Linked DNA regions of Oreochromis niloticus. The protein of the gene in region 2 interacts with the protein of the main gene of each other region in a biochemical or structural test. Links are inferred from orthologs where the notes say so. Each region holds a gene or a part of one and is shown on either strand. Other genes may lie near its edges. The genes, in order: sufu and gli3.

Region 1 (15,695 bases), on a different chromosome or scaffold from region 2:
AAAGGTTCCCTTTAAAGTGCTTTGTACAAGATTTTGCTTCCAATATCAACAAATCATTGACCAGTACCAATTAGCTCTTCAAATGGTTTCTTTTCAACCACTACTACTTCTTTTGGCTGCTCCCTTTAGGGGCCGCCCCAGCAGACCATCTACCAACATCTCACCCTATCACAAGCATCTTCCTTTGTCACACCAACCCTCTGCATGTCCTCCTTCACTACATCCATTAACCTTCTCTGTGGTCTTCCCATTTTCCTTCTGCCTGCCAGCTCTATATCCTAGATTAAAATGCTTTGTCCAATACATCCACTATCCCTCCTCTGCACATGTCCAAACCATCTCAGCCTTGCCTCATTAACTTTGTCTTGAAACTGCTCTGACATGCTCATTTCTAATCCTATCCATTCTGGTCACTCTCAAAGAAAATCTTAGCATCTTCAGCTCTCCTACCTCCAGCTCAGCCTCTTGTCTTTTTGTTAGTGCCACTCCCTCTCCACCAACAGAGTGGGTCTCTTGAACCCATCTATCACTCCATCTAGCACACCTCACCCCTGTCTCATTGTCTTCATAAATGTCCTGCACTACCTTCAAATACTTCTTCTCCTCTGCTGACGACCTGACACAGTACCACAGTTTCCCTGCTCACACCCTATTGTATGCTTTTTGTAGATAAGGCGTGTCAAACATAAGGCCTGGGGGGCCAGAGTCTACCTGACAGTGAGTTTGACATCCCTGCTCTAGAGCCACAGGACGCAAGACAGTGCTACTTGTTCTGATCTTCTATATAGTGGCAACAGGTTTCGTTTGAGTCACACTAAGCTTAACTCTTTACAGAAAAATTAAAAATATATAAAATAGTAGATTTTGATAATGCTTACGTTTCCATGACAAACATTTCCAAAAACAGAACACAAAATAAATAAATAATTAAAGACCATAAAAATGCCTCTTTATGTCATACTGTATAAAAGCAACATGGTGCAGAATTGAGTAAAGCTTACTTGTAGCTGTGGATCAATTTCAAAAATGGTCTCTCCTCTCCTCATGTCAGTGATTAGCCAGGGGCCACCGGCTCTGTGCACAGGAAAAGCATCACCATTAGTTCAGGTCAGCATTAACTCCAAGTTAAACACACCAAGTTAATACATTAACAAGTAACTATGCTCTTCACTTGCTGCTCACAATGTACTCAAACTGAACAGCACACAATCTACAACAAAGTGGCATTCACATAATGGTGTTTCTATTCAACTCAGTTCCTACAAGTTCAATGATTGACCATTTACAGGCAACTGTAAAAAAAGAAAGAAAGAAAAACGAGAAAAATACTGTGTCTGAGCAGGTCAATCATTTAGATTTTCTCTGCCGGATATGGAGTGAACTAAAAAGGGAAAAAATATGTGTGTAATGCTAAAGTCAAGTTATACTTTCCACTTCAAATGATGACTTTCATGAGAGTTCTACAGAAAAATCACACGTAGGGTCTGACTAATCAACACCTACGTGTAAATCCAAGCTAAGCAACAGAATAAAAACGTAAAACTAGCTTTGACCAGATCACCTGCTACACAGTTCTACTCACACTCTGACTCCACGCATCAGCTCCAGGATACCCTGTCCATTCCACTGTTGGGCCGCCTGCAGCTCCTCTGTACATACTCCCACAATCTACAAGAGACAAATTTTATGGTTTTTACACCAACTGTTGTAAAACACCCCATACATATTTTATTAATATTGGGTAACATTACATAATATTGAATAACTGCCAAAAAATCATCTGACAATTCAAGATGGATTTTTGATACTGTGTTCCTCTTCTCATTTGCCTACAGTCAACTGTTGCAACCGTTTACCGTCACAAGGGGGCGGTGTCACAAACAACAGGTCTGCAAGCTACTCTTCGTTGTTGGTCCTTCAGCCATAGAAAAACGCAGTAATATCAGCTAAAAAAACAAAAGAATAAAAAGCATCCATTGTAGCCACCTGTCTGTGGCTTTTTTTTAAATCTTTGATTTCTGAGCGTCTCCTGTTCACACTGAACTCTGCTGCCACTTTTAAGCCAACAACTATGTGAGCCATGAACAGCATCATCGACATTAAGCTATGTAAAATGTAAATGGACTGGTTCTTATATAGCCCATTTCTACTCTGCCTGAGCACTCAAAGCCCTTTATACAACTTGCCTCATTCACCCATTCACACAAGCACACGGAAGTGCTTTCTAGCTAACATTCACAGACATTCATTTTCCATCCGATGCATCTGAGAGCAACTTGAGGTTAGTATCTTGCCCAAGGATATTTGGCATGCAGACTGGAACAGCCAGTCGAACCACCAACCTTCCGATTAGTAAATGACCTGCTCTACCTCCTGAGCTACAGCCACCGCTATCCTCTGCTGTTGGACTTTTGAAGGACTTCACAACAATGTTTACATAGTTTGCATAACCCAGCAAAAACCTACTCAAAGAGACACAAACGCAATACCGCAAATCTTACATTAAATAGCTCGACACAGAATCGTTTGGAGCCTACTGTCAAGTGGATTACACTAGTGACAAGTGACATTAAAAACTCACCTGGAGAAAACTCACTGTGCCAAATGGCGTCTGAATTGGTTGCATCTGTGGGTCTTCTGTAAGCAACATATGCTGGATACGAGATTCACTGTTGTCTAGTGGACTGTGCCACGATACATGGTCACCACTACAAAATGTGTTTTCTGCATAAGTGAAGAGAAAAAAAAAGACATTATTTTTTAAATAATAACAAATCATTGGATTATAATTTGTCTAGCAGACGCCCTGTCATGGCTGCTCATACAATCTTACTTTCCTACATTTCATCATCTGACTGTACATAAACGTTGACGGAAAGGTCCAGCAACATGAGAAGAGGGGAGGCAGATCAGAAAAAGAGGTAGCGTGAGTAAGAGGAAAAACAGTCAAAATGAGACCCAAATATGGAAAGAAAACCATAAAAACTACATTTCCGTCAAAGCTAATCTGACTGTTTGGGAGGTAACATGCGCCCACGCCAGACTTGCTTCAGGAGAAACGAGAGGGGGGTAGATGGCCAGGAATCAGCATTCATTTAGCTTAGGGGCCTAGCCCACCCACACACAAATTGACCCCAGCTGGAAAGCAGAGAAGGACTGAGTAGAGGTGAGTCTGGAGTAAAAACTTTCTGCATGCTCCCTTCTTGTCTATCAAATTACATTATTTACACAAATGTTGGATTCAAAGGAACTTAGCAACAGTGTATACACCCATGCAGAGTACATATATTCACACTACCACAACTGTTTTGTTTGTAACTTGTGAAAACAATCCTACTAAAAACAGCAAAAGATAACAAAAGGGAAATTAGATGTCCTTTGAATACCCAGAGCTACAACACACATAAATGATGCCCAGAGCAGACTCCTCTAGTTAAGCTTGTTTACATGCATCACTGGGATTTCAAGCTACCTTTACAAAGAACACATTCTTTGGCACACCACAATGTTTTTGCTTGGCCAATAGAGAGTTATCACATTAAAACTTTGCAGATCAATCATTTGCTAGACTGCAAACAAACTGTGACAAATAAGTACACTGTGTTACAATTTGTTAAGTGAATGACCAAGAATTTACAGATGGCTGCAAAATGGAAAAAAAACTAAACAAAAACAAAACAAAACAGCAAAGTGTCTTGGTCAGATTTTGGGCCACCATGTGCCACCAACCAGTATCAGTGCACCATTACGTAGATTCTTCAAATCTCTGGAACACTGCCAGAGCCATGATATGCATTTCTTTTAACAAGCTATCCCCTCTTTCGGGAATAACTTTACCTTTCTGTTTCAGTGGCTGTCTTGATACTGTTTATTCAGATCAGTAATAAGAGAACCATGATATCAGCCCCACAGTGCAGTGGCAAGTGAAAGGTTGGTGGTTCAGTTCCAGCCATCTTTGCTTTTTGTCCACTGTAAAAGGCTACAGCGGCTATTTCAAACTCTTGCACACTGATCTGATCAGAGATGTATCCTATAGATCGGATGTAGCAAAAATGCAACAAAGATGAATGTTTTGATCTTTGCTGAAAGTTCTAAAAGGTATTAACTGCAGCAACATGCACAGTCATAACATTGTGTGTGTTAATGCAACTCACAATTTAGACTGTGTCATGTTTACAATATATAAACTTAACTAGGTCTGATTGCAGTAAGTCTGCAGTTTCAATCTTCATGGCGAACTGACCAGGGTGCACATTCAAATATGAACCCAACATGACACTATAAGATTAATGGAAGGGTAAGCATGTCCGAAAGAGGCGAAACACGTCAGTCTAAAAATCTCCCACAGACGCTACACTTGTTTGAGATATGGTAATAGTGAAAGGAATAGTATAACAGTCACGTTATTTCCATTCTCTTTGAGTGACACCTGGTGCTCTATGAATGGAAAAGACATCCCAAAAGACAGCACTCACGTCAAGATATAAATATGACATCACAGTACAACGATCTATTTATTTTTTTAACCACTTAACCAGTCTTTTGCTGATTATTCAGTTATTTTCTATACAATGTTTAAAGCAACAAAAATAAAACAAAATTTATTTATGAAAATACATTTCTTTTTTAATCTGAAAGGCATTCAATTTGATGAATTATCACAACTTAATATAGTTTGTTTCTGTTGTTTAAGATGGCAGCATGGTGGTGCCCTAAGCATGAATGTTAGTATGAAATGAATGGTTGTCTCTAGTATCAGCCCTGTACTACTTCACTACTACAAATATTTTTGCTGCAAAACTACCCACAATAAAGTTTTTGACCTCTTCCAATTCTTCTGTTTGATTGTCTTTTAATATGACCTTTATCCATGCAAACATTTTTTTAAATTGCAAAACTGCTTTGTGCCCTTACCTGACTGGAAGACATAGCGAGCCAAACCTTGCATGAGCTCAGCTGGCCATGTTGGAGGTGCGGTCTCCCCCACCTCTCTTTTGAGTCTAAAAGTGAGCTCAAAGCCAAACCCACTTGGTCCATCTGGCCCTGTAAATCTGACAAACAAACTTTATGAGAAGATGGACTGACAAAATGTCAGCACTTATACTTTTGTGTTATTCTTATGTGCATGAGGGGTGTGAAAAGCCAAATACTTATTGAGATGAACAAACTATTCAGAGTTCACAGTTGGTCAGGAGGGGACATTTAGTAAAGGGCTGATAACTAAAATATTGTATGGGTCAAAATGACTTCCCACATTCAATAAACGGTCACACAGAGGGGCGTTTAAAAACCAAGATTTGTGTTACTGACACACAGTACTTACTCATGAACACGGTTATCCCCATACAGGTCACTGAGTCCAAAGCTCACATAGTGCCAATGCTCCTGGACGTCCTGAGCTGGACAACCTACATTTCTATACATACTGATGTAGTCTAACGGATCTGGTCCACCAAGCCTATGAGAAGCAAAAAATGAGAAGCATGTACAGTTTTGTTATTGTTGTCAGTGGACACCCCAATGTAAAGACATCTGGGTTACAATGGAAGTCATTTATACGTATAAACGTAGTGAGACACATTTCAAAAGCTGGATTTAAGCCAGTATGGCTTAGAAGAGAAATTCTCAAACTTTCCGAATAACAGTAACTACAGTATGGCTTCTGGATGTTGGGTTAGCTACAATGTTAGCTTGGAAGCTAAGCTAGTTCTAGGCTAATATTTAGCCATTATTAGATTAAATGTATTGTACAAATTTAATGCCCGCACGCATGTCAGACGAGAAACAGCAATATGGGTTACTTACCAATATTTTACAATAGCTGTTACTTGAAGCGGGTTTGCCTGCTCGGGATAAAGTCGCCGACATTCCCCATAGATAGCCTGCAGCCCAGGAGGAAACAGCTGCACCAGCCCGTGGGCTTGTGCACCACTGGTAGGCCGTACCTCATCCATGCCACGACCTCGAATAAACCGGGTTACTCTATAGAAACAACGTATATACAGTTACCGATGGCAACTACCACTTGTTCAAAATTAGGCTAAACTAAACCATAAAAGCTTCAGACGAGTACTGCTGTGTAATAACAAAAGATAAACTCTTTTCTGTTGCCCCACTCGGTAGTCGCCTGTTGCTCATCCTTTACAAAGAAACTACCTTACCATTGGTTGGAGAAAGGCCATTGCGTCAGTGACTGGCAGCATATTGTAGCCAATGAAAATAAAGATAACGGTTGTGTGAATTTGTGGATAAATGTAATTGGCTGAAATGATACTTATCAAACAGTTAAGGGGACATGCACTTTCAGGGTTGGGGTATTAACGTTTTTAAGTAGGCAAATTATGGCTAGGTAGTTAAAAAGACAAAAAAACAAAAAACAGCCAACAAAAAAGTAGAAACTCATTCAAATACTTTGCTGAGAAAAAAAATCCTTTAACTCCCATGTGACGTGTATGTACAGAATATAACCAGCAAAAAACCTTTCAAATAGAGTATGTACTGTCTGTTACTTGTTAAATTATTTCCTTGTAAAAAGTCTTGCATTAAATTTTAGGATTTTTTTTTCAGTTGCAGTTAAATGTGTTAAATGGAAATAATTCAAACGTTTTGGGTTGTTTTTTTTGTTTTTTTTTACTGTTTAATCTGTATGTCCTGTAAAATGATAGTCTCCAAAAGTAATTAGTTTTGTGTGAACTAAGGTAAGGTAAAACATATCATATAACAGAAATACTGACGTGCCTTTAAAATCAACTTACGTGTTTAAAGTAGTTACTCGCTTTACGCCCATGCAATAACCATCCACCCACTGTTTAGACACTTTTACTGTTCTGATAAAGTGTTTACTTTATCAGTTAGAGTCAGAGATTTCAATCAAAATCAGCCTGAAAAACGTAATTACTTTGAAGAGGCCAACAAGTTAAGATGTGACCATGACTGAGCAGTCACTAAGACACTACACTGTGTGTTCCATGTTTTGAATAAAAATGCAAACATATCAAGGGCTATAACACAGCATAATCTGGACTATCTGTTATGAAAGTGCACATCTCCAGTGAATAGTAATTAAAGATTATTCAAGATTTTTCTCATTTCAGAAGCTTTCCTGGATTCTAAATGAATGATAACAAGAAGGGAGGGAAGTATTATTTCTTTTTGAAAAAAGTATGAATCCAAAGAGCTATTACATTTCTAAAGAAACACCAAGTTCATTACATAAGCATTTCTTTCAATAGAGTGAATGCATTAATGACAAAACACAGTGTTATAGCATAGTAATGCTGTATATAATAGTGATAAATAAATGTAAATACATTATCTAAAGATTCCTCATCACTAAGAGGTGGCAACCTTTTTTGCACATATGTTCTTTGTGCCTTATCACATGCAGTGTCACACTAGTAACTACTGCTACATATTATATAACAACCTAAAGAACTGTATCCTGTGATGCTGTTTAATCCAAGTGAAGTTTGGTTCAAATCTAGTATAGTATGTTCTCCATGATTTCAGTCCCACTCTAACCACTGTGGCACAAGTCCCAGAAACGAGTATAGCCTGAAGGACTCACCCCCCACCCACCCCCCACACACACCAAAATGGGAGATTTCTTCGGTGAGGTTGGAAATGATGTATTGTCCTGTCATGACGCTTCCAGACATTATCAAAAGACTTTGTGTAGAGTGTATGGCTTTTTCCAGACTGACTTTCAGAGACACATCTGGGAGCTGTTTTGAGAGAACGCCTCCATTGCAAATGGCACAAATTAAAACTAAAAAGGACGGTGCATTAACAAAAGGGGGCATGGTTTATGCGGGGCGTAGATAAGAAGAGGAAAAGATAGCTAATACACTTTCGTTTTGAATGTAGCTTAGATGTAATGATGTGGCAGCCCTGTGAGCACTATGATTCACTTGATATTTACTGTTTCAGTGCTGGTTACAAAGACCCACATCATAATGTCATTTAGTGATAATAGTATTATAGAAATTGCGTACTTCTTTCATTCCCACCAAGTGTAACACTACACTGCTTAATTTAACTTGAGTTGCCAACGCTGATACCAGAAATGAGTTGCTTTAAACCTGTTCTGGTGTGTCATAACTACAATATATGTAGGTGAGTATTCCCGTCCTGAACGACTACACAAAAACGTGGTGTTTTGTAAGTTATACTTCAGATTTTTGCACCAAAGGCAAAACTTACGTTACCGATTAATTAAGTCAAAAAGAAAGCACATATTTAATACTGACATACTTTTACCAGCTCTCGCAGCATTTTGGCATTATTAAGCTATAGCCATGTTGGAGTTAAAACATACATTTTTTTATGAGAGGCAACATACGCACACACATACACACAGATATATATATGTGTGTGTGTGTGTGTGTGTGTGTGTGTGTTTAACATTTTTAACTTTAACATGGCTGTAGCTTAATAATGCCGAAATGCTGCAAGAGCTGGTAAAATTATGTTAGCATTAAATACGTAGCAGAGCAGCTCTTGAACTTTCTGACGTACTTTTTACCTTAATTTTTCCTTTTAAAAAATTGCTATTAATTAATAAAATCCCCACAAATATGGTTGACTTTTGATTGGGTTTATTAACAATACATAATGACACTTTATAATAATACTGAGAAACACATTAGTCATTTCAAAAAGTATGCTTTATTCACAGCAATAATATGTGCAATTAAAAAGTAACTCATCATTCACAGGAATCTCCATACAAACGTAACACCAAGCATTATTTTATTGATTTCACACGGCGGTAACTTCGGCAGTCTGGTGCTGTGCTGTACGGCTGACAAACTAGTACCATGCCAGAAGAACTGAGCCCATAGATGACACCTGAAGATGTCACCATCTATGGAATTCAGTTCTCATAGTAGAGCACACATTAAAATCTGTTCCTCGGGCACTTCTGGATCCTTGAATGACTTTATTGATTTACACAGCTCATACTTCAACACTAACTCTTTTCACATCTCATTAAATCTCCCATTAAATAATGAAAAAACGAAGAAAAAAAAAAAGCCAACTATAAGAATAATAAAATTAGTTAACTCTAAAAACTTCACAATAAATGTGGGCTGCAGTTAAGTGACACATGTTGAGCAGCACGTTGGGGTTAGGTTACCGATCCCAATTTCTGAAGAAAGGCTGGGTAATGATGAAATGATAACGTCAGCTGTACTTCTTCCAGTGTAAGATTGAGCAAGAGGTCATTACTGTGGTAACTGAAGGGATTAGTCACATTTAACATTTGCTTAACAAAGTGGCGTATGAAGAAAAAAAAATGGCTGTTAATGTGCAGTGGTTAAGAGGTGTTTTTATATAAGTTGAAAATGAAAGTAAAGTGGGAAACAAGTTCCAAAAGAATGGAAACGATTCTGTGGTTAGAGAACATATGGAGAGTTTCAGGATCATTTGAGCAATCCAGCTGGTTTTTATTTTTTTCATCTGTGTTCCTGGAAATGCTTCAAAACTACTGAAATGCAAGTCTGTCCACTGGAAGCACTGAATCAGATCGTGGTGATAGTGCTCTGGTCAAGGCATGAAATGACTCATCAGTTACAGCAGTACACTCCCAGTAAAAGCGCTTTAGGACCGTGTGATTAGTGACATACAGTTAGTCGACGTATCTTTGAACCCTGCAAAGTAAGTTTGATATTAACTGACCTGCACTGTAATTGATTCTCCTCTTTTATTTAACAAGAGAAAAAGAAAGAAACCCCCCACCACCACCACCCAAGGCCTGGAGTCAATATTGACAGTGAAGATACAGTGAAGATAATTTGTCTGTGTTATCTCAATCACTGCAGTTTATCCATTATGATGGTGCATTCTTTTAAGGTACAGTACAGCACGATGAACTTTCGAAGGAAGGCCACACCTGAGTATGTTCAGGAAACTCATATCTTTCCGGCAGTTGGACTGGGAAACAACCGGTTCTACGGCCTATCACTAGACAAGGCCAATCCCCTATGAGATCATTAACTGTTTCTTAAAAGTCTACATCAAAAAATTTTCACAGTGTGGCAGGTTTAAAAGCCTTCATTTGCTTTTTGCTCAAAGAATGAAGAAGTTAGCATTTCTTTGACCTATTTAAAAAATTTTCAACACCCCCCACACACACCCAAAAAAACATGTCATTTTCTATAAGCTTTTTGAAAACCACACACTCGATTTGACCATACTGAGAGTTTTCTTTTAATATACTTACCTTGGTTTCATTGATTTCCTTTCCTGATCCTGGTTATGTCATAAACAAACCTCCTCATAAAGGCCTCCCAGGATTATTTCATAGTCAAGCTTTAAAAAAACACACTTTCGCAGTCCCATCTCACCAGAAAGAAAGCAGCAGGCTTCTTCAAACTCGGCAAATATACATTCCTCCTCAAATCACCTGCACATTCTGCTCGCTCCCCAATGTCCTCCAGGTCCCAAGGATGGATGCAGCATACTGTCTGACATTCAGAGAAAGAAGCACTTAAATATCTTGCCACCTTTCACATCACCCATCATCCTCCCTCCTCTCTGTTTTTCATACACTCCCTCTGTACGGTAAGCCTGACAGTCACTTCCCAGTAAGAAGGAAGCAGTGGGAGTGTAAAACACGCCCCCTCACAGTGAATCAACACATAATAGTTTCTGAGGAAAACCATCTGACTTGCCCTGCCCCCTTGTTCCCATAAAGTAAGCAGGGGAAAGGCTGTGTCTACTGGAGGGGCCAGGAATTCCCCCACAGGCCCTGAACAGCTGTCGAGATGAGAGACGATGACGAAGCGGACACAGTGGAAGTTTGCCGGCCAGGCATATGCAAACAGAAACCATGTTTGGTGTATTTTATGTTTCTCTGAGTGAAATAGCATTTAACACTACAGTATATTTACATAATAAGCCGCTGGAAATTCTGTCCACACACTGTGGGTGTTGAAATGCACAGTCATGTTAGAGCTGGTGACATTATGTTTCCTAGAAGTTTTTCTTTTTTCTTAATCTTTGCTAAATATTATTTTATCAGCGGGTCTCTCTACAGTGCTGACGTCACGGGTATGTTTAGGATGAGATTGATTCTTGAGAATGTTTGTGTAGCTGGAGTCATTTATTCAGGTGGGTCTGATAGGGCTGTATTATAAAAGAACCTTTGTTTGCTTTCCGATCATAGTCAAACACGACACACGTACAGGTTGTATTTAGTCACACGGATGAGACCGGGGCGGCAGGCTAAAATGACAATTTCAGAACAACACATCAGGCAGTGTTATTCAGTTTCATTGTCGAATGACCCTGTGAAAACCCTCTGACTTCCTCATCCTCTTATGTAGTCACCTCAAATGCGAGAAACTGGTCTGGACTTGAGGCATACTTCCCCAGAAAAAAAGCCCTTTTCGAAAAAAAGTAGACGGATTTCCTTGAGCTGGACAAAAAGGGGATTCCACACGGAGATGGAAAAATTACAGCAAAATTCCCTTTCTTGATTTTGGATGGATATTTGCCCATACTTCCTGCATAGGCATATGTCTAGACATTTTCAAAAATGTTTTTTTTAAATTTTGCACTGTTGCCAGATTATGTAGTGAACTTCACTGAAAGGAAACCAGTAAAATAAGAGCTACAGAGACCCCATAGAGTCCCACCATTGATGTTCAGTGACTCCAGAATCCACTTTCAAACTACATCCTTGGGCTGGTGGGATAAGTTGCAATTGACATTTTGTGCTGGACTTCAGAAACAAGCCTGGCTTTCATGCTGGTGTTTGAACACTGGGGAAATCACTCGCAAAGGTCACTGAGCCCATTTCCTTTCTTTCCTCTCCATGCATCTAAAGACCTGTAACAGCCCCTTTCAACTGCACTTCAGTTACTGGCAGACATATTCAAATTCCGATATAGGAAGTGAAAGAAGGTGTAGGTAACAAAAGAGCAAATATGAGCCAAGACTGTGTTTTTATTGCAGTTTTTCCTTGTTTAACCACGGCAGTTTTGACGTACCAAAATAAAGACAGGAGTCATAACGACACAGCTGGCTGATTCAGGACTGCACACAATAATCAAGCAATAGCCTTGCTCTAATTTTTATTTTCATTCAGTTTTTCATCAATAAATCAGATAAAACCGATGAGCTCCTGACATTCCTTACTCAAGCGTCCTTTGACTTTTTAAAACGCAGTACTACCACATGTCTCTGAAGTCCTTCTTCTCCATCCCACAGACGATCCACAGAGAAAACACCCCTCTGCTCCACAAATGTTTCAAAGAGATGTAGTCCACCACCTACACCAAAGTAGTGGGATTTGGTGGCGAGGTAGACCAGACCATCTGGTGCCAGCAGTTTGTGCAGGGTCTCATGTAGAGCAGGGTAGTACGCAGTGTTGTAGATAGTCTCTGATGTGAATATAAGATCATATTTGGGTGGTGGATCTGTCTTTAGAACCAAAGCGAGAAATGTGCTCCAGTCACCAGAGTAAAAATGACACCTGGTTAGTAATGGGTGCTGGGCTAAGTCTATGGCTTGCTTCTTAGGAGGTGGGCTGTTTTCTGTAATCTCCTTCTGCCCTTTTGCCTTCTTTTTAGAACCATCTTCCTCCTTCATTTTTTCCTTACCACTCCCTTCTTTGTCATCTTCACTGTCTACTTCATCATCCTCTTGGCAGTTTAGCATTACATTTGGCACTGTGAGCTGTTCAATGACTGTACTGTTATAATCTTGGAAGTGGACCTGACTGGCTCCCCTCTTCAGAGCCAGTATTCCCAGCAGCCCTGCGCCACAGCCCAAATCCAAAACCGCCTTCCCCCCAAAGGTCTCTCCATCTTTCTCAATCAACTCCAGAAGGTCATACGTGCACTCCCACACCTTCAGCCCTCCCTCGTACACACCAGAGATGAGGTCAGACTTCTGCTCTGCTGTGCGTGAAAGAATTTTTTCGCTGTCCTCTCTCTCTGAGGCAGTCTTCTCAAAAACGGTCTCATTGAGGAAGTGCAGAGGAGGAAGAGTTCCAACTGTAACCGTTTCAAAGACGGCATCCATAAGGAGGAACTGTGGATCGGATGGCGGAAAGTGCTCGCTGGCCTCTTTTACTGGTTGTGCTGGTTTGGCGCCGTCCTCTACCTGCAAACAGAAAGCAGTATGCACAGTTGATAATAAAACCACTCCCTCAGCAATGTATGTGGGTGATGGTCACAAGTTGTGACATGAATAGACAATAAAGGAACCACAAAGACAACATGTGTTTCATGTTAATAATATCAGTGCTTCAAGTATAATTAACATACGCAATAAAATGTGCCACTTGAGGCAACAACTTTTAGCACTGTCAGATTTAAATGACCACAACACCTTTGGACCTTTAGGTTTACGAGATTCATTAAATCTGTCACTTGTGACTTGTTGATTATCTAACTAGTAATTACCAAATTAAGGGGGAAAATAGTGTTAACATAAACTAAATTAATATTATTTATGAAAAGAACATAAGCAAGAGTTTTCTGTTATCCTTTCACAAAAACACAGCTTTATTTATTAAAGTTAGTGTTAATGAGTAACAAATATTTTGGTAAGTAGCATTCTAACGTTTTTTGTTTTCTGAAGTGGAGCACAGGCGGCACAGCAGCGTGGTGGTTAACTGTCTTCCTGTTGTCTCACAGGAAGAAAGTCCTGGTTTTGAAACTCCACACACATGGCTTTGCGTGGAGTTTTATGTTAGGTTAATTGGCGATTATAAATTTTGCTGTAGGTGTAAAAACAAGCACGCGTAGTTATTTTTCTTTCTATGTTAGCCCTGTAAGAGAATGGTAGCCTCTCCACAACGCACCCTTCCTCCTGCCCTCTGAAAGTTGGGATAGGCACCAGCCGTTCCACAACCTTGCTTCAAGCAAAATATGGATGGATGAAGTGGGGCATGCAGAAAAAAAGATGGAAATATGTCATAACTAGTGGTGATGTTAAAACCGCTTTGACAATTACACTGAAAATGGGGGATGGCTTGATGTTACTGTAAGAATGGCTAAGATCTGCACATAAATGTTGCGAAATCTTCTTTGGGACCTATAAAATGCAACAATGTCAGTTATTAAAACATAAAAGTCTGTTCTTTGGTTTAAAGTTAATTAGTCTATTAAAATGTTGTAACAAAGATTTACTCAATTCTGTGTGTGTGTACCAGGTGTAGTACGCTTTTACCACTGTGATTTGTTTTCTTGTAATAATGATGTAAAGGTCAGTTGACTGATAAATCACTCAAACACGAGAATGTTATGCATCAGCCATGTGAGTCACCGTGACTGAAATGACGTTTGCTTCTCTGGACTGGTAGGTGTAAATGCTCATGTAGTAACCCAGTGGAGCTGAACAGTTTAGATTAAAAATGCCAGTAAAGTCTGTTGCATACCTCAGAAGTTTGGTGTCAGACATAACAATAACAAATCACACAGTACTTCAAGAGTTTGGATTGTTTCCGCTTTAACATGCCTTATCCTGTAATGTTAACAAGCGGATTAACAGCCCACGCTCTCTAGTGGATGCACACAAAATTGAAAAGTTTTATTGCTTTTTTTAAAAAGCTGTTAGAAATGCTGTTAGAATTTACAGCATCATTTAATTGAACACCGTGTGTTTTAGTGAGGATGGATTTTCACCTTTATCACCTTTAACATAAGACAGGTTTATCTTTACAAATTAAAGCTAACTTTGGCTACTCCCTCGTCACAAGGGGTCACCGCAGAGTTTAGGGCTGCATGTTTGATTTGGCTTCTTTTTCTGTGGGATGTTTTAACTGGTAACCCCAAAGAGGATTTGTGCATTTCGCTGGAATCAAACCACCAACCTTTGGTTTGTTAAGGGAATGTGCTAACCATTACACTGAAGCCCCTCTATAGGTTTATCTTCACAAATTAATAATGTATTTTTTTTTTTAACTATTCTACACTTTGATTTAATGTTAAGTCTTATCTAAATATAACGTTGACAGAGCTGCCATGCAGATGAAAAAAATCCTTCTATTTGCTTGTCTTTAAAACCCCCCAACTAAGTTACTTAGTCTACATTACAACTGGTAAATGTTAGACAAAACTCTTCTGTGCCTCATTTTTCTACTTAAAGACTAGGAATTATTTATCCTTTTTAACAGTAAACTCGATGTAGTTTTAATCAATATTTTTTCATATCAACTTTAGAATATGTATTCACGTGTTTAGATTCAATCCATTCTAATGCACAGATCACAGAATATAGTTAAATGTAAGCAAACCTAGGCAGATTTTCTGTCTGCTGTACTTGTAGTCGATTGCTTTATTACAGATGCATTTCCACAGTCAAAAAATAAACTATAATGTCTAAGAACTTTATTGTTTTGCTCTCTTTCGAAGTTGCCCCGGAATTATTTGTGATCCTTTGATCCTTTTCACTAATAGGAAAGCAGTGCTGTTGTTACTACTTACATAAAGTAATTTATGACAGACAGTTAGATGCATTGCTTTGGCTCTGTAAGTTTTCTGCCTGCAGCCATAAATGTTATTCCCACACTCTCGCAGAGGGTCCAAGTCTAAACTTGCTTTACAGCACCGCAACTGCTAGCTTGAACGTGACTTCTGCTTCTAGTTACGCTGCAGTACTTTGAGTACTCTGAGTAACTTAAGCTATGGCACATCATAGGTAAGCTAATGTTACTCACAGATGCGGCAGCATGGTCTTTA
Region 2 (16,053 bases):
GGGATAATAAGTTCACCCTTTGCAGGAGAGACAGTTAGTGATGAATCAGATCAGAGGAACAGTGTACTGTAATCATCCTCACATCTCCCCTCCTCCACCTTGCACTCCTGACAAGCAGAGACAACCTGGCTCCCAGCTACGCAATCTGGCACCTATCACACAGGACTGGCAGTCGCAAGGAGGAGATCACCCAGCAATGCTTCACACACACACACACGTGTGCCCGCGCACACACACACACACACCTACTCTAACCCAGCGTTCATTCAGCTAATCACTCACACACACAATAATTCTTACCTCTAGGACACGGAACCTAGTTTATCACTTCACCGGTCGATGTATGTAAATCTCTGCAACAATGTGTGTACTAATGGCTTATTACCCTGTGTTAGCTGGTTTGCATTGATCTCTATGCCAGAGGGAGATGGAGAAACTAGAGCAGTTCGCTGCTCATATGTACCAAGCAGGACTATAATCACATTCCAGCTTGTTTCAATAAAAGACAAGCATTAACATAAAGCATCTCAAAAAACACGCTAAATAAAAAAACCCTTCACCCCCTCGCTCCGTGTGTGCAAGAAAAAAGGGGTGGGGAAAAAACTTTCCTGGATTACAGGGTAATCAGGGCCATATGGGATGGTTCTGGGTAACTCTGTGTGTCTCTCTGAAGTGCACGACTTGTGTTTGTCTCTGCACATTATGACTTTCTGAATAAGAAAACTTTTTTGATTTTTACAGAGGATGAAAATGCTCAGCGATTGCACATAAAGAAAAGTAGCAGCAGCAGATAAAGGGTTTAGCTTTAACACCAAACTCGGTTCCTTCGGCTGGGAGGGTGGCTGAGGGAGCATTTGGGGGCTGAAGGATGCCCAGGTAGAGTCATAGGCAGTAATGGGAGGAGACAGGGACTTAGGGCGCCACACAAAAGCCAGGCTTTATAAATAATTCCAAAAGCTAACAGGATCCCTTGTATGTGTGAATCTGTGAAATACATTCACACGTGAATGCACACACACCCACAGACACACACACACACACACTGCCACCAGGGGGAATAGGTTATTCACACCGCTCCACTGGGGCTGTTGAGAGTCTGACCTGTCTGGATTGGTAAATTTGACCAAATCTTTTTTGCATAGATGATGCAAAGAAGAAAATAAGTCAGGGAATAGAAAAACAGAAAGGCCCATTTTTCCAAGTCACACACACACACACACATTTACACACTCACACTCACTCATAATGCAGGGCAGCAAAGCACACCGGAGACCTGTCTTGTAAATCTCTTTGTGAAAGCAGCTTTGGGGGGTAGACAGGGGCTTACATACTGAGCCCTGAGGTAGAGCTACAGACTCCACTCCCTCTAACCCCCCCACGGTCTTTCTCCCTCTCCCACACACATACTCTGCGCTCCCATGTTCTCTCTTCCTCACTTTCCACCTACCCCACATTTCCTCCACTTTTCTTGCCCTTCTTTCACCTTTTTCACTCGTTCCCTCCCTCCTTCCCTCCCACCATTCTTCCTTCTCCCCTCTCTCCTCCCCTCTGTCCAACTCGGGCTCCAGAGCGCTGGTCCTTAGCCCCCGCAGGCTCCCGTGGCGTTGCAGTGACTAATGTCCTGCCTTTGCTCAGACAATGAGTTTGAGACTGAGCCGGGAAAGTGTTGAGGAGGGGAAAAAGACTCTTGCACCTTTGACAAATGGAACCCTTCGCACTCCCATGCCCACTGAGGGAGCTTTTACAATGTTGCGCGCCACGCTCCACGTCCTCCAAGGGACGGCTGCAACCCGCAAAGCCGCATCTGGGGGAACATAATGAATTCTTTGAGAAGTCTAACCTGGCTTTCTTCATGAATAAGATATATTTCCAAAGCATGTCGACCCCTCTTAATAAAAACACCAGTCTGGCAGGAATAGCCAAAGCCGTTTTAGGGCCCCATGTACACGTTAATATTTCTGTTTCTCGATAAATTTTCTCAGGCCTGCTTCTTTCCAGGCCTGTCACTGCACGGCCAGCCCAACAAATTCCCTGGAAAGTAGAGAGGCCACGGTGACAAACTGTCATTAAAAACGGCTCAAGTCCATCTCTTTCAAGGAACTCAAACTCTTGGATGCTCCCTCCTCTTCTCCACGCACCCTACCCCCCATGCAAAACTGAAAGGAACCGGGCTTTGTCTGAGGAGCAAAGGAGAGAGGAATCCCCCCCACCCCTCTTCTCTACAACCCTACCTCCCCTCCCCGAACCCTGTTCCTCACTCCCTGCGGAGTATTGTTAAAACACAGCCCCCTCTCTTTCCGTGGCCCGGGCTCTTAAAACAGCGTGCTTTGCATGAGAAAAAACGATTAGTCTTCAAATGCTGCGCTGTCAAAGGAGGGCTCTTTCAGGTTCGGGTAGAAATTTGCTCAGATAGTAGAGTTCCCCTTTTGTTTTTCCAAGATGAGGCATTATTAGAGCCAGAGTCTGTTAGCATTCATTACTGAAAAGAACACACTAAAGGGGTTTATTCGGGATACCCGCCCCCCACGCCCCTCCTTTTCCAAGTTGCCCCAAGTCTACGGCAGACGGAAACGAAGGGGGCAGAGCGGGTAAAGAGGTACTCATCTAAAACATGTTTGGAGAGCAAAGAGAATGTCTGGGCCTGCGCTTCTTTCAGGTATTAACCTTGGGATTTACATGTGACATCCAAACAACAGACACCCCCTTGACCTCCACTCGGGGACTCACCAAGGCTCGGCGATAACTCCCACTGAAAGACAACTACAAGCAGCACGGGGCTGCAAACACACAGGGCGAGCATCGTTGCATGACAACACATAACTTAATTACTGCTGTGAGGGCAGGTGTTTTGTGCAACAAAATGCACTATACAGTGCTCAGTTTAAACAGTTATGGCAGAGAAAAAAAAAATTAGTGCCCAAACTGATGCCTCGGTGCAGCCTAGCCCCACACATCAAGAAGCAGCGGTACGTGACGGATCATTGTTCACAGCAAGCGGCCAGTTCATCTGTCTCCCAATCGCCACCCTTGACAAGAAAGCACAGACCCCCTCACGGATGCCACAACCGGCTCCCATCAAAGCTGACACAATGCCACATCTGCACTAAGAAAGAGCCCCCACCAAACCCGCCACCACCCCAGAGCCCCAGGAAACTGTCTCTTTAGGCGCACAAACTTTACACACAAACAAATGGGCCCCCGGACTAAAAGCACTTCACCTCTCGCTGCTACACTTCACGCGGCGGACTTAAAGACATTTTTACAGCAGCTACAGCAAACAGAGGAGGAGATGAGCGGCAGTCACGCGCAGGCGTGACCTGTCCCGCTTCTCTTCCAAAGTGTGTGAGAAAAGAAAATACCAGTCACGAGCTGGCACACCACTGGATCCTCGCACACAAGCCTGCGTTTCTGCCGCAATAAAATTTACCGTCTCCTACAGCAGGCCTTATGTTGAGCTGTCAAACACAGCTTCATCTACCGTAAATCCGAACCACTTGATTCAAATTTATGTGAATGTTTTCCCACCCCCACCATTTTTTTTTATTGCCGTTTTCTTCACCTCACTCTGGGAGGCAAATTGTCAGGTCCAAATGGAGTTTCCAAAGGACGAAAGCTATAGCAAAAAAAACTTTTCCAACTTTTTTTCCTTTTTATTTTTCATGCAGTTAAAAGACAAAAAAGGACAGTAAGAAGGAGAACAGTACACACACAAAAACAAAAAAAACTGTATGAATGAGAGAGCGAGAAAGAGAAATAAGAGTGTGAATGAGCACGAGAATGCATGTGCACTCAGAGTAGGACTGTTTTTGCTGGCTACCAAAGACCCAAGTGAATTACAATCCCTGAATGCGACTCATATACATATGTGAAATTACATTTTTCCCATCTCGAGTCTCATATCGCCTTCATCACTATTTTTCCTTCCCCGCCATACGACTTATCCAAAGACATCACCCCTTGGCTTGAAAGGTGCCTTTAGCAGGCTCCTTGAAACAGCGAGTGAGGGTCCCGCTCTGGGACAATGATGGTTGAGGTGGAGGGGAGCCGGGGGAGCAGGAACACATAGCATATTAAATCTGCTGGCGGAGCTGGGTCGTCCACGCACAGAGCCAGAGAGCCAGATCTGAGGCATGCCCTGAAGGGATGGCTGGGCCTGGGGATTAGGAGGCCAAGGAGAAGCCCTCGCACACCCGAAGACCCCTTCTTGTCTATGCTCATACGCAAATGCATCCAGACATTTTGACGCTCCTCAGGTTTGCTGTCTCAGCCCAAGTTTTCAGAGCACTCCTCCGTGCCTCACAAACTGCACTTACACACACACACACACACACACATTTCCACCCGCTCTCATGAACAGCCTTTTTTTCCCTCAATCACTACCTCTGTCTGACTTGTCCTCTTTCTTTCCCCACTGTGTCTGTTTCATTTGATGTCAACATATCAAAGTACCAAATCATCAAAGTAAGAGAGTAAGAGATTTCTTTTGGGGGCCATCTATTCAACTACGCCAGCCGTATGCAAGGAAAGCAACAGCTAATCACAATGTAGGCTACAAGAAATCCCTCCAACTTTCCCTGGTCAGGTGATTTTTATTATTACATAGAATGAAACTTAGAATTGTCAATTTTATCCTCTCAGGAAACAGGAAATTTTAGGAAAAGTACAAAAAAGCGAGGGAGAAAAAATCACCAAACCAACAGCAACCTGCAGGAAAACCCACAAAGCGAGCACGATTACACAAAACCTTCACATCTGTGCTCATTATCTAACGGATAATCAACTTCCCTCACATTACCCTCGTTTTAACAAAACATTTGCCACCTCTTTGAGTGCTTCAGGTTGTGGCATTAGCACAACAAAACAGCTCATTAGGGCTTCTTGCATACAAACCTGATAACAGGTATACTTCCAACAGGGTGAAAAAGGCCTGAGGACACAAACTGCCTGTAACTGTGAATGTAAGGCCCTTACAAAGAGGAGCAGGCCATACCTCAAAAGCTAATAGCACGTCATCTCCCTGCATTAACATGACATCTCCTATTCTGCCAGGTCACCAGGTCACAGGTGTCCTGGGCCAACGTCCCCATGCATAAAAGAGAAATGCTTAAAGTTGAGATAAAGCGGCACGCTGATGCTGCCGCCGCTGATATCTGACGGACCGATTCCTGCAGAGGGAAACGTTATCCGCCTTTTCCTCGCGCGTGGAGTTATGGAGCACAGAGCGGCAACGATACATCTTTCCTGGCTACAGTAAGCGAATGGCTCTAAGTTGTGCATCTCATTCCAGAAGATTAGCATCTTAAACAGTGCTGCATTCATCCTTGCTGCTGCATTGTAATGAGACAAAGTCCTTTATTTGGAAAAGGTGCACCACTTTCAGATAGTATCGTGCAAAAGCAGCAACAGCAAAATTAGATATACACACAGACAGTGTGCAGATTTATCATTTACAATTTTTCACAACATGGACTTCCTTGCGTATTATTTATTATTTATTAGATATTTGGAAAATATATATTACATACATTAGATTATTGTGTAACTATAGAAATTGAAGCCATTATTTTTGACTTGATTTAACCATTTAAAAATGTTACATATTTTGATCTATCAGCACTGAATTGTTGATTAATCGCCAAATTTAAATGTGATGTCTTATACTCTGAAAATAAAATGACAAGGGCCTCCTATGATGATATACAGGCAACTATATTTTTTATCAGTGTAATATTTTTAATTACAGGCATCGTCTCAAAACGCTTAATTAAGAAGTCACAGGCCATAAAAATGCATAAATGTATGCAAAAAAAATGTAATTATAAATTGTCTTCAAGTTGTCATTTTAAAATAAAGCTTAGGCCTAAAATTTTCAGACTTTTAAGGCCTGACTTGTCTGCTTTTATTTTTTTAACTGAGTGCAGTGGTAAATTTTCCAGCTTCAGGCCCTGCGAATGTTATTTTGTTACTATTAATAAAATAGAATGGGGGAAATATTAAATGACAGTTTATGTGACAGTGCCTATTTTATTTTATTGGACAAATGTTACCAAGACCTGCAAAAACCCCGCTCAAAGCCAAATCCTCAGACAAGATGAATGATGAGAGCAACCTCATAAAAAACACCCGAAAGGAGATTTATTTTTTTTTATCTGTGTGAACTGTTAAACATCTTATTTCGCGTGCGTTCGCTCGCTGCTCCGTCTCAAGGCGGCCAAACCTCCGTTAATAATTTGCCATGTGCCAAAAGAAAAAAACCCCCCCCACACACACAACACTCACAAAAAAAGGGAGGATTTGAGCTGCACCGCATGGCTGAGCACCTCGGACCCTCGTCGTTTGTATGAAACCCGAGAGCAGACAAGCAGATAAAATGTGGAACAGCTGGCGAGGAACAGGAGGGAAAGTTTCAAACAAATATCTGCACATGTGGACGCTCGAGGGCGGGGGGCTCCCAAACGTTTTCATGTCCTGGACCCCCAAAATGAACACACCAGACTTCTGTTCCCCTGTTCCCACATTTTTTTAAATCTGCACAAGCCCATGTGAGAGCTTTCTACTCTTCTTCTTCTTTCTATAATTATTATTATTGATGTAACTTTTTAAATGACACCTTGCATTTAAAGTATATCCACAAGCTTTTAAATACTAATAAATTCTAATCAACTAAAATACAGAGGATTTATGCTATATTTAATTTTGCTTGGGTCCCCCATAAAACCTCCCCCATGGACCCCCGCAGGGCCACAGACCTCAGTGTAATGGGCTTAAATTTCTCTGAGCACATGCGCATGCCTTCAAACACACTGTGATGTACGCTTAAATATGTTCTTTCTTGAGGGGAAGAACATCATTTTAAAAATTTTCCAACGCAAATCAAATTGTCAGAAGCTCTGGAGAGCCTCTTTAACTCCATCAGGTTAGCAGATGCAGACACGGAAAACTAAGATTTATATGAAATCATCCAAATACTTTAATTTTCTCCTTTTTTATAACTAAAAATAATTTCATGAGGAATTTTTTAATGTTATAATTTATTGTCAATTTTTTTTTGGAGTTTTTCCAGTTATAAGTTTTCAGCTAATTAAATTTTACAAAACTATAAATGACTCGGTGCTCGATAGTGAAGCAAGGGGAGGTCAAAGGTCAAGGGGAGGGTCAGCCACAGGTTTTGGATGGATTGAAATAAAAAGTTGAACATGTATGCCGTCACTAAGTGTTTCCCCGAGTCTCTCACTTGTTAAAGCAAATCAATAACAGATCCTGAAATATGATCACAAATGCACATATATATGAACCCCCCCCGTCTCATCCCACGCCACTATACACCACACCCCCGCGCGCGCTTATTTGAGGTCCAATAAAGTTTCACTTCCAAACTCTAAGAGTGATTTTCCCCCTCTCTCTCTGTCTTATTAAACTTTACAAAAACACGTTGTTCATTAATATGAAAGTTTATGCAACTGGTTTGAAAATGCACATCTGTCTGCGGTGGATACTTGTTAAGTCTGCCATCCGGGGGTTTCTAACAACCGACGCTTCTTTCACAGAGATTAAATCACAGCCGGGCCAAGCGTAAAACAGACAGTGGTGCATTTACGCTTTTACGGCTGTATTTTTTTCTTTCTTCTTTTTTTGGAGGGGGGGGGAGTCCCTGATCGAGGCTTTCTTCGCTAGTTTCATAAACTGTTCTCGCAGTTGGTGCACTTCACGTCTACATCTGAACTTGTATGAAATTCCATCGTTTTGAAATATGAAACCTCCGCTGCTTCACAAACTCTGAGTGGCTTTCTCAACTTTAAAAGCAGACAAACGAGCGCAACAATATTCAGAAAGAAAAAGAAAGTGTATTTGTGTGCGGTGTGCGCGAGCTTTCAGCAGATTACTTACTTCTCTCTGGGTGAATTCCCCTCTAATTCTCGACTTTAAAAAAAAATCTTCTCAGGCAAAAAAAAAAAAATATAATATATAGATTTGTCTTCTTTCCTCTTCTCCTCTTCCTAACTTGCAGATGTGCCTCTGGAGTTGCCTGGGAGTTTTTTTTTCTTTCTTTCTTTTTTTTACGCTGCAACTCCAACTCCAAAACGGCGCTGCCAGACTTTTTCCTCTTGTCTGTCTTTCTCCTCCTTCTCACAGTTTGCTGTGTTCAACCACCGCCGGACTAACACCATCAGCCTGCCGATAATATCTGCCGATAGCAGACCGCAGATGTGCGTAAAAACAACATAAGCGTCAGAGAAGCGCATGGAGAGTTGTTATTACATTTAGAGCGGTTTTTTTCGGGAAGAGGGAGAGAGAGAGAGAGAGTGAGGGCGAAGTGTGGGACTCCAGCTGCTCCTTCCCTCGCTTGACTCCTCCCTTCGGATTGCTCCCTCCTTTACTCACTGCCTACTCCTTTTTTATTTTGTGCAGGCTACCCCTTTCTTTCTTTCTTCCTTAGTAAGCATTTTAAAGACTTGTTCCTCAGTAGTACTATTTCTGTAGTAGAAATAAACCTAGAGGAGAGAAAGAACAAAATAAAACTCAAGTTTGAGTCCTTACACCACGAAGAAGAGGAAAACAGGTCCAGGTTAAGCATGAATGACTGCATTTTAGGGACCAAGAGTTAAATGGATCCAAGTTTTAACTAAAAGAAACTGAAATAATCTCATAGATCTCAGTTGAAAACACCCACTTTGTTATGTAGAAACTCATACATACATTTAACTGCAGATTTATGAGGGCTAAAACAGCCTCCTGGGCTCAGCCTTCAGAGTCATACCTACTAATGCTTCAGCAGAGGGAAGCCCTCCTGTAGGGTTAGGTGTAATCAATATACATAATCAATATACAGGGAAATTATGTGGTAAGAGAGGTCTTTAGGGTGCAGTTTCAATCAATGAAGAGGTGGGAGTTTGGGAAGGAAAATCAACCGTTTAACCAGCATTTGAATGTGTGTGTGTGGCCGAGAGGTCAGGTCCGTCAAGTCTATTTGTTCCTCATTGTAACACACATCCAATCGGCTGCTGTGACAAATGACTAAACCGTTTGATTTAAAGACAAATATCCGTCTTTTAAGGCTGCCTTATAATCACTTTCCTGACACTTATTATGCTGATAAAGTCGGCAATGACTAATTACTGCCCAATCAATCAGAGCTCAGGATCTTCTGTCACAACTGTCAACGTCTTTGTCATCGTTAAAAGTGTCGAGATTCTGACTTTGTCGCAATGTGAAGATGGATTTCGGATGTCAGTGTGGAGCAAGGTGACAAAACTGTGAACTATGATGAGTGTGTGAACGACTATATTGGTTTTCATGGGTGTCAAGTTTCTTTGGCATCCATAAAAATGCTTAAAAGATATTTATGTTTAGTTATTATTTTAAAGAGAAACAGACAAAATAAACAAGGTTAAGAGGTCATAAAACTAAATATAGAAGTGTTCCACGTGCACAAGAATGGAGTATGAGAATATGAATAGAAAACGCTCACGTCTGTAGCTACAGGAAGTCGGGCCGAGAGAGGAGACAGTCAAAGGTGCTCTGTAAGACAGCCGCTAATTCTCCTGTCAGTTTGTCAGGCGGTGCTCATCTGGCCCGGACTACACAGAGATAAAGTCCTTGTTATGAATCTCTCAAAGAGAATCCAAGGAACGTGGTAGTAGAGGTGGGAGGCTGGGGGGGGGGTGAAGGGTGGAAAGAGGATGGGGGCGAGGTAGGGGAGAACAAGAGGGTAAAGGAGGAGGGAGGAGGTGCACATGGGCATCAGTGGGGTTAGCGGCTCCCGAAAGTATTTCATCAAAGAGGGCCAGGATCCTGGGGATTGAGATTCTGCCTGGAGGCAAGTAACCAATGGTCTCCCAAGAACATATTCCAAAGTAGGACTCACAGAGCCAAAGCACACATCAAAAGCGCCTCTGTAGCCAAAGCGATTCTGGAGGAGAAAGAAAGGGGTTCAGGTCCCTTCTTGGCCCTCTTTAAGCCCCAGCTCTCACCCCAATTAAGAAGGAACTACTGTTTGTTCCAGACCCTGAGATCTACAGACAGGGAGGTGCGCTCACTAAGGTGGACGCTCGGGCGTGCTCACAAACAAACACACACTGACACACACGCGGGATGCAGACATCTTATCCCTGCGCACCCAGTCTTACTTTTCACCGGCTCACAATCGAGAAGAAGCGCCGTGCGTTTAAGATCAGCATCTGGGCTCATTTCTCAAATAATCACCAACCCCGCAGAGCGTGTTTCCAGTTTCAGATGATCTCACTGAAATAAAATGTAGCGCTCGGTTTGTCCGCGTACTGTATGTTACACATGTAACAGTAAATCAATACTTGGCAGAGTGTTGTGTAGGCATTTGGATTTTTTTTGGCCTTTAATTCGTCTCTGCTGGACAGATGTCACAGTGAAATGGATACAGCAGAATAAGCATATTATATCCACACAGATGTGACCGCTGGAAATGGAGCGGCTGCAAGAAACAGAGGAATGACAGGGGCGACTGTACTGTTTACTGCAAAATGGAGAAGTTGTAATAAGATTACAGAGTATCTGAAGTGTTTTCGGCTGTAGACAAACACAGGCGGGAAGTAGTGAGGAGCTGAATGTGAGTAAAGTTGTCAGTAAGTTTTTACTAAGCAACCAAATCTCTGCTGATCTCTGCCTACACATGACACAAAGTGCAGGTTATTAAATCCTTTTATGCTCTCAAATTAGTATTTTAATCTTCTCTAATGGAAATAAGGGCTAGCAGTTCTTTTGGAACCAGCCCATCTATATTAAAGGAAAACATTTTAACACTAAACTCCAAGACTTAGGCATTTGGTGGCTACTTGGTTACAAAACTTACTATTCAGTTCTTTACTCCATGCCCAGGCATTTATGTCTTTATCATGTTGTACCTAATATAAGAAAATAATTACAAAAAGAGTGAAATTTAAAAATATACATATTATCAAACATGTTGATATAAACCAGTCAAACATCATTTTTTTGCCCATTTTATCATTACAAGAAGAGAACACTGCACTTTCTGGAAAAATATTTAATTGCAGATATTAAAGGGAAAGCAATAAGCCATCAGCGGTGTAGTTTAAGACAAACATCACAGTATATAGTGCCAGGTCTATATATTGGGTACCCTATATCTCCTTCAAAGTATTGGAGTTCAGTGCACTGTTATTCTTTATTGAGGAGCCATATATATCTCAAAAATATATGCGTATAAAAGCGAAATGTGTGTGTATGGACACGTACCTTAACATGCAAATGAGCAAAAACACAGATTTCCTTTGCTTTGAGTGGCCTGACCTTTTAACCTGTGACTCCAGAAGCTTAGGATAGTTTGATAAAATCCTGCAATAATGTTCAAAACTTCTAAAAACTCCCAGCAGAGAAAATCGATCTTGCTTCAGCGTTGCTTTGACAACTCGTTTGACTTTGCACAAGAGTTTTTTGTAACAAGAAACAGAAAAAGAAGACTGTAAACATGAATACCTTATCCCTCATGACTTAATAATTACACATATTTCATTATTAAAGGTTAAATTAAAGGTTTGTTTGCCCATATATTTCCTGCCTCGTGTTTCTTCCCTGTGTAGTGTCTGTCTAATAAAGGCCCTAATGCATTTAATCAAAGTGTTTGCTTTCCTCAAGACCACAAATGTGCCGAACCACAAACGACAGGAGCAATCTGACATCTGCTCTGTTTGCCAGGGAAGATCTGGGGGCCGCAAAGGAGAACGCCAGCAGCCTCTAATCTACCGTCAGGAGCATGTTAGTTTGTTCAGAAGTCTCCGCTTTCAGTCGCTCTTTGTGTTGTTGTTTTTCCTGCTTTCAGTTTCCTCACATGTACTGTACCTGTACGCACTTGTACACTTAGGACACTCTCAAACGCAGCACTCCCAAACCCCCCCACCCTCACACCCCTCCTCCTCTCAGCATCCCTCCTTTTTCCCCCCTGCCGGAAGGTATTGGGTGGCTTGAGTGGGCCATTAGTGTGAATGACTGATAAGACTCTTAGCCCCCAATAATCGGGGGGAAAAAATGATATTTGCAGTTATTTTGAATCCGTCAGAAATAATAAACCCAAAACTATATCCACTTGGGCTACTTAAGCAATTTCCCTGTGATAACATCCCGTGGGGATTTCATGTGGATTCCAAATGACGACATAATAAAACCACGACGCCTGCACCCCCTTATCAGGCTGGATTAAAAGGGAATAATGAAACAGAGAGAGGTTTTGGAGCCTTGTGTGGTATGAATATGATTATCTAATGGACTCCAATGGAAAGGCATGTTAATTCTACTTTAACGCGAGACCTTTCCCAGACTATCTCCTGCCCCTGGCTCCTCCTAAGACCCTGTCTTTCCTCCCCCCCCACTCGACCCGTTTCTCTGCCTCTTTCTCCTCTTCCTTTAAGTTTAAATAATCGTTCTGCTATTTCCACAGAAGTCATTATGCCCCGCCGTCTATCTGTACATGGACGTAGGCATGGGAGTGATGAATCCTCGTTTTTCACACTCTTTTCCAGGCTGATTGGGCTTCGTTGGCCTCTTAACTTTCAGACAAAAGCACTCTAGGCAATTTATCAACATTCTGATTTTTTCCTTTTTTCCCGACGTTGTTGCTTGAAGAATATGGGTCACTTTCATACAAGCTTATATCAAACTTTCCGAGCATCCAGTCGGATATTACACGATGCTTGCTTTGAATAAGTATTTGAATGCTCGGCCAAAACAGCCTCAGTGTGAATAATCCCCGGCTATTTAAAAACAGTTTTCCAACACTGTTATTCAGTTTTAATTGTGCGCTCACTGCATGCACATCTGAAGCTGTTGCACCTTTGTTTCAAGGGCAAACAATTACCCGTCCATCACCAAATGAAGATTTACGTTGTGCAGGTTTGCTGTCAAGCTTCTGTTTAGATGTCAGACACATATCAGCGGTGTATGTATTTTGCAATGGGTGCTGACTGATTAAATGCACCTGTTCTTTTGATCAGTAGAAGAAGCCCCTGACCAATTCAGGCCCAGAGTGGGGGGTCATCATCGGGCCCATTAGGGCCGATAACACTCCTTGAGCTCCACGGTCAAGTCTGTTCTCATACAGCCGAGCACGCAGCGGTATTGTGGATCAGCGCACACATCCTGAGAGCAGACTGAGCTCCCACAGGACACAGTTAAAAAAAAGCATCAATATTTCATCAAACTACTCTCTCTTTCTGGTCCAGATCAAAGCCTCGACTCCCACAGTCCTACAGGTAGAGATGGCTCTTTTGTTTTTGCTCCTCAGGTAGAGCAGCAGTCAGACTCTGTTCGCTTTTGGAAATCTTGCAACGCTCAGCCCATCCATCTCGCCGCTTGCTGCCTCGCTTTTGGAAGAGGCGGTAAAAGGCACGAGTAGAGACTGTGAGGGTGAAAACATGTTCCAGAGATGTCCAGAGATTGAACTTCTTGGCCTTGTAGTGCTTTATTATTTCCTGTTTTTTTTCCTTTTTCCACTTTTGCCCATAGTGAGACTAATAGTAAAAACAATGCTGTTGTAATTCATCTTTTAGAAAGGCTTCCCAGCATCAGTCCTCACTGATACCTGAACCATCATCCTTTCCACTGTTTTAGTGCATGATTCCTATTGAAAATGCTGGAATTACAGGGCTGGCATTTGTAATAAATTTCAAAGCATAACTAATCACATTGGTCCAAAATGCAGTAATGTAACAAGTTACTGCTCTTACTCTTACTTCTCTTTTATTTTTGAGCTATATTATAAAGTACTGCCAGTGCTGGCTTCATTCTCACCAAAATATTTTTATGCAATATTCTCCTTTCTGTTGGATTTGTGCAAATTCTTGATTAAAGAGTGCAGCAGAAACATCTTGTGCATGCCCACCATATGAATATAGAGATTAGTGCTGCTATTTAGGCATGTGTATGGTTTAAAGCTACATAACTGATAATATATCCTCCATAATTTTGGTTTATAGCAAACATAGTTTTACAATCAGATCAGATCAGATGTTTTCAATCAGATGTTTTCCAGATGTTATTGCATGGTGGATCAAAACTTGATGGTGCATTTCTGTATTTATACACCCATCAGTTTTGATCTACTGATGATCTACAACACCGCTGGCTGAAATCCGAACCATGACAGAGCCCCCACCATGTTTTACACATGGCTCCACAAACACTGATGACAGGTGGAATCAAAATTTTTTCCATAAGACTTGTTGCCACTGATTTTCAGTGCGGTTCTTGTGTAGTTTTACACACTTCAGCCTTTTTTTCCCTGTTCGCCTTCCTTAAGAATGGCTTCCTGACAGCCACCCTCTCACTGAGACGATTTGTTATGAGGCTTCAGTGAACAGCAGATGGATCAACTGAAGAGCCAGATGCATCTCTCAGGTCCTGTGTCAGGTCTTTGCTGGATTTTTCCCCCCTGTTACTTAAGGACATGACTTTCAGATGCTTGTCATCTGCTGCAGATAGCTTTTTTTTTTTTAAGGACAGCCATTTTTCTTCTGTCTTTCATTTGTCCAGTTTCCTCAAACATTTTAAGGACAAACTGCACCCTATGGAGAGATGTGCCAAGTCTGGGAATCCCCTTATGGGCATTCTTCAAAGATTGAGCTAAGGCGGTGTGTTTTTCTAGCAGACTGTCAGTAACAAAGTGTCAAAAGATACATTTTTTTTGTTTCTTTTACTCATCTATTGGTTCATTTGTTGAGTGCAATACTGTTGTTGTGCTCAAAAGACTCACAACTCAGTGTTAAGTGGTTTAGCAAGGACTGGACTTAAAATGAGATTGCCCAAAGAAAATTTTTGAAGGACTCAGAAAGCCTGGAGAACTACTCCTCAAAACCTCCTTAAAAGTGACAAGAAAGCCTGGCTCGGTGGAAATGAAATATAAAGACATGAGGGTGGCTCAAGCTAGATGTTTGCACAGCACTGCAGTAATCAAGCATACATGTGCACAAAGTAAAAAGTACAAAACAGTTAACTGTACAATTTTATATTTCTAGTTTTCTTTTTGTTTAAGACTCAAATGAGACACAGATCTTTGGGTTTGTGTCAGGAAGGGTATACGGCGTAAAAAGCCTGCCAAAGCAAACATACAGAGCTACCCCGAGTCATGTCTCCCTTGTAAATAAGAGAGCAGTCAAAGTAGCAGCTAAAGTCAGCAGATTCTGATGATAAAGCAAAGAAGCTCACAATTGCACTTGCTGTACTAAAATCTAACCAAACTACAACCTATTTTGTTCTTCAGGGCTAACCAATTACAGTCTGAGTTCATTTTCAATATACATATTTCCCCTGTCCGCAAAAAGAGTGCAAAAGTGAATATTAAAGTGGCAGCTGTTAGAAACGCTGTGAAACAGAATCAATGCGTAAAAAAAAAAATGCGTTGGGTTCACACTCAGCACTCTCACAGCAGGCAGCTCTTTTCAGTGAAAATGCTCCAAAACTGTGCTGTTCACCACAGAGGCATCAAACAGCACACACAGTCGCTAGATAGCTAGATTCTAAATAAAAGCTGTTGTTGTCGCACAAGCGCTTGAAGTTTAAATGAGCACCTGGTTACTAAGTTCAACACAAAAAGCATTAAATATGTCAATTTTGTGCTTTCAATTTGCACCTGCTGCCTCCAAAAACCCCACTTTCAGCTAAACTGGGGCCTAAAAAGGTAAACAAAACAGACATGTAAGCTGTACTCACTGTATAGTGAGTTTGCCATTTGATAGTATTATCCAAATGTTTAATATACATTATTAACCTATAAAGTGCACTCAAAGTACCCAACAATGCTTTAAAAAAAGAAGTGTGCTACTAATGGTTACCACCTAAGCACTGTATAGTATCATGTATAACAGAATAAGAAGGAAGAGAGCAGCGCAGTACAACACAACCTGCTAGTAAGGAGGTTTTCTTTAATAACTCGGGAAAATATGATTGTTTTAATATGTATTTTTTCAATAATTAATGGATATAAGGATATAATATAAGGATAAGTGCAAGAAAATAGATGGATGAATGTTAGTATTTACTGCTGTTGTCTGTCAGCTTTAAATTGTG

Evidence for each region.
Region 1: the proteins of gli3 (region 2) and sufu are reported together in a solved structure, tested with the Homo sapiens proteins (2 studies listed by BioGRID and IntAct, with this or other methods). The link is inferred for Oreochromis niloticus from reciprocal best matches to the Homo sapiens genes GLI3 and SUFU.

The regions. Positions count from the first base shown.
Region 1 is NC_031978.2:18,908,255-18,923,949, forward strand, and holds the start of sufu (suppressor of fused homolog), read right to left. Parts: upstream 6,165-15,695; 5' UTR 5,955-6,164; coding exon 5,806-5,954; intron 5,459-5,805; coding exon 5,324-5,458; intron 5,052-5,323; coding exon 4,915-5,051; intron 2,725-4,914; coding exon 2,582-2,724; intron 1,669-2,581; coding exon 1,583-1,668; intron 1,075-1,582; coding exon 1,002-1,074; intron 1-1,001. Other genes in the region: mettl18 (histidine protein methyltransferase 1 homolog), read right to left, coding at 12,145-13,113, 15,674-15,695. UniProt on the Homo sapiens protein: Negative regulator in the hedgehog/smoothened signaling pathway. Down-regulates GLI1-mediated transactivation of target genes. Down-regulates GLI2-mediated transactivation of target genes. Part of a corepressor complex that acts on DNA-bound GLI1.
Region 2 is NC_031974.2:14,113,341-14,129,393, forward strand, and holds the start of gli3 (transcriptional activator GLI3), read right to left. Parts: upstream 8,330-16,053; 5' UTR 7,888-8,329; intron 1-7,887. UniProt on the Homo sapiens protein: Has a dual function as a transcriptional activator and a repressor of the sonic hedgehog (Shh) pathway, and plays a role in limb development.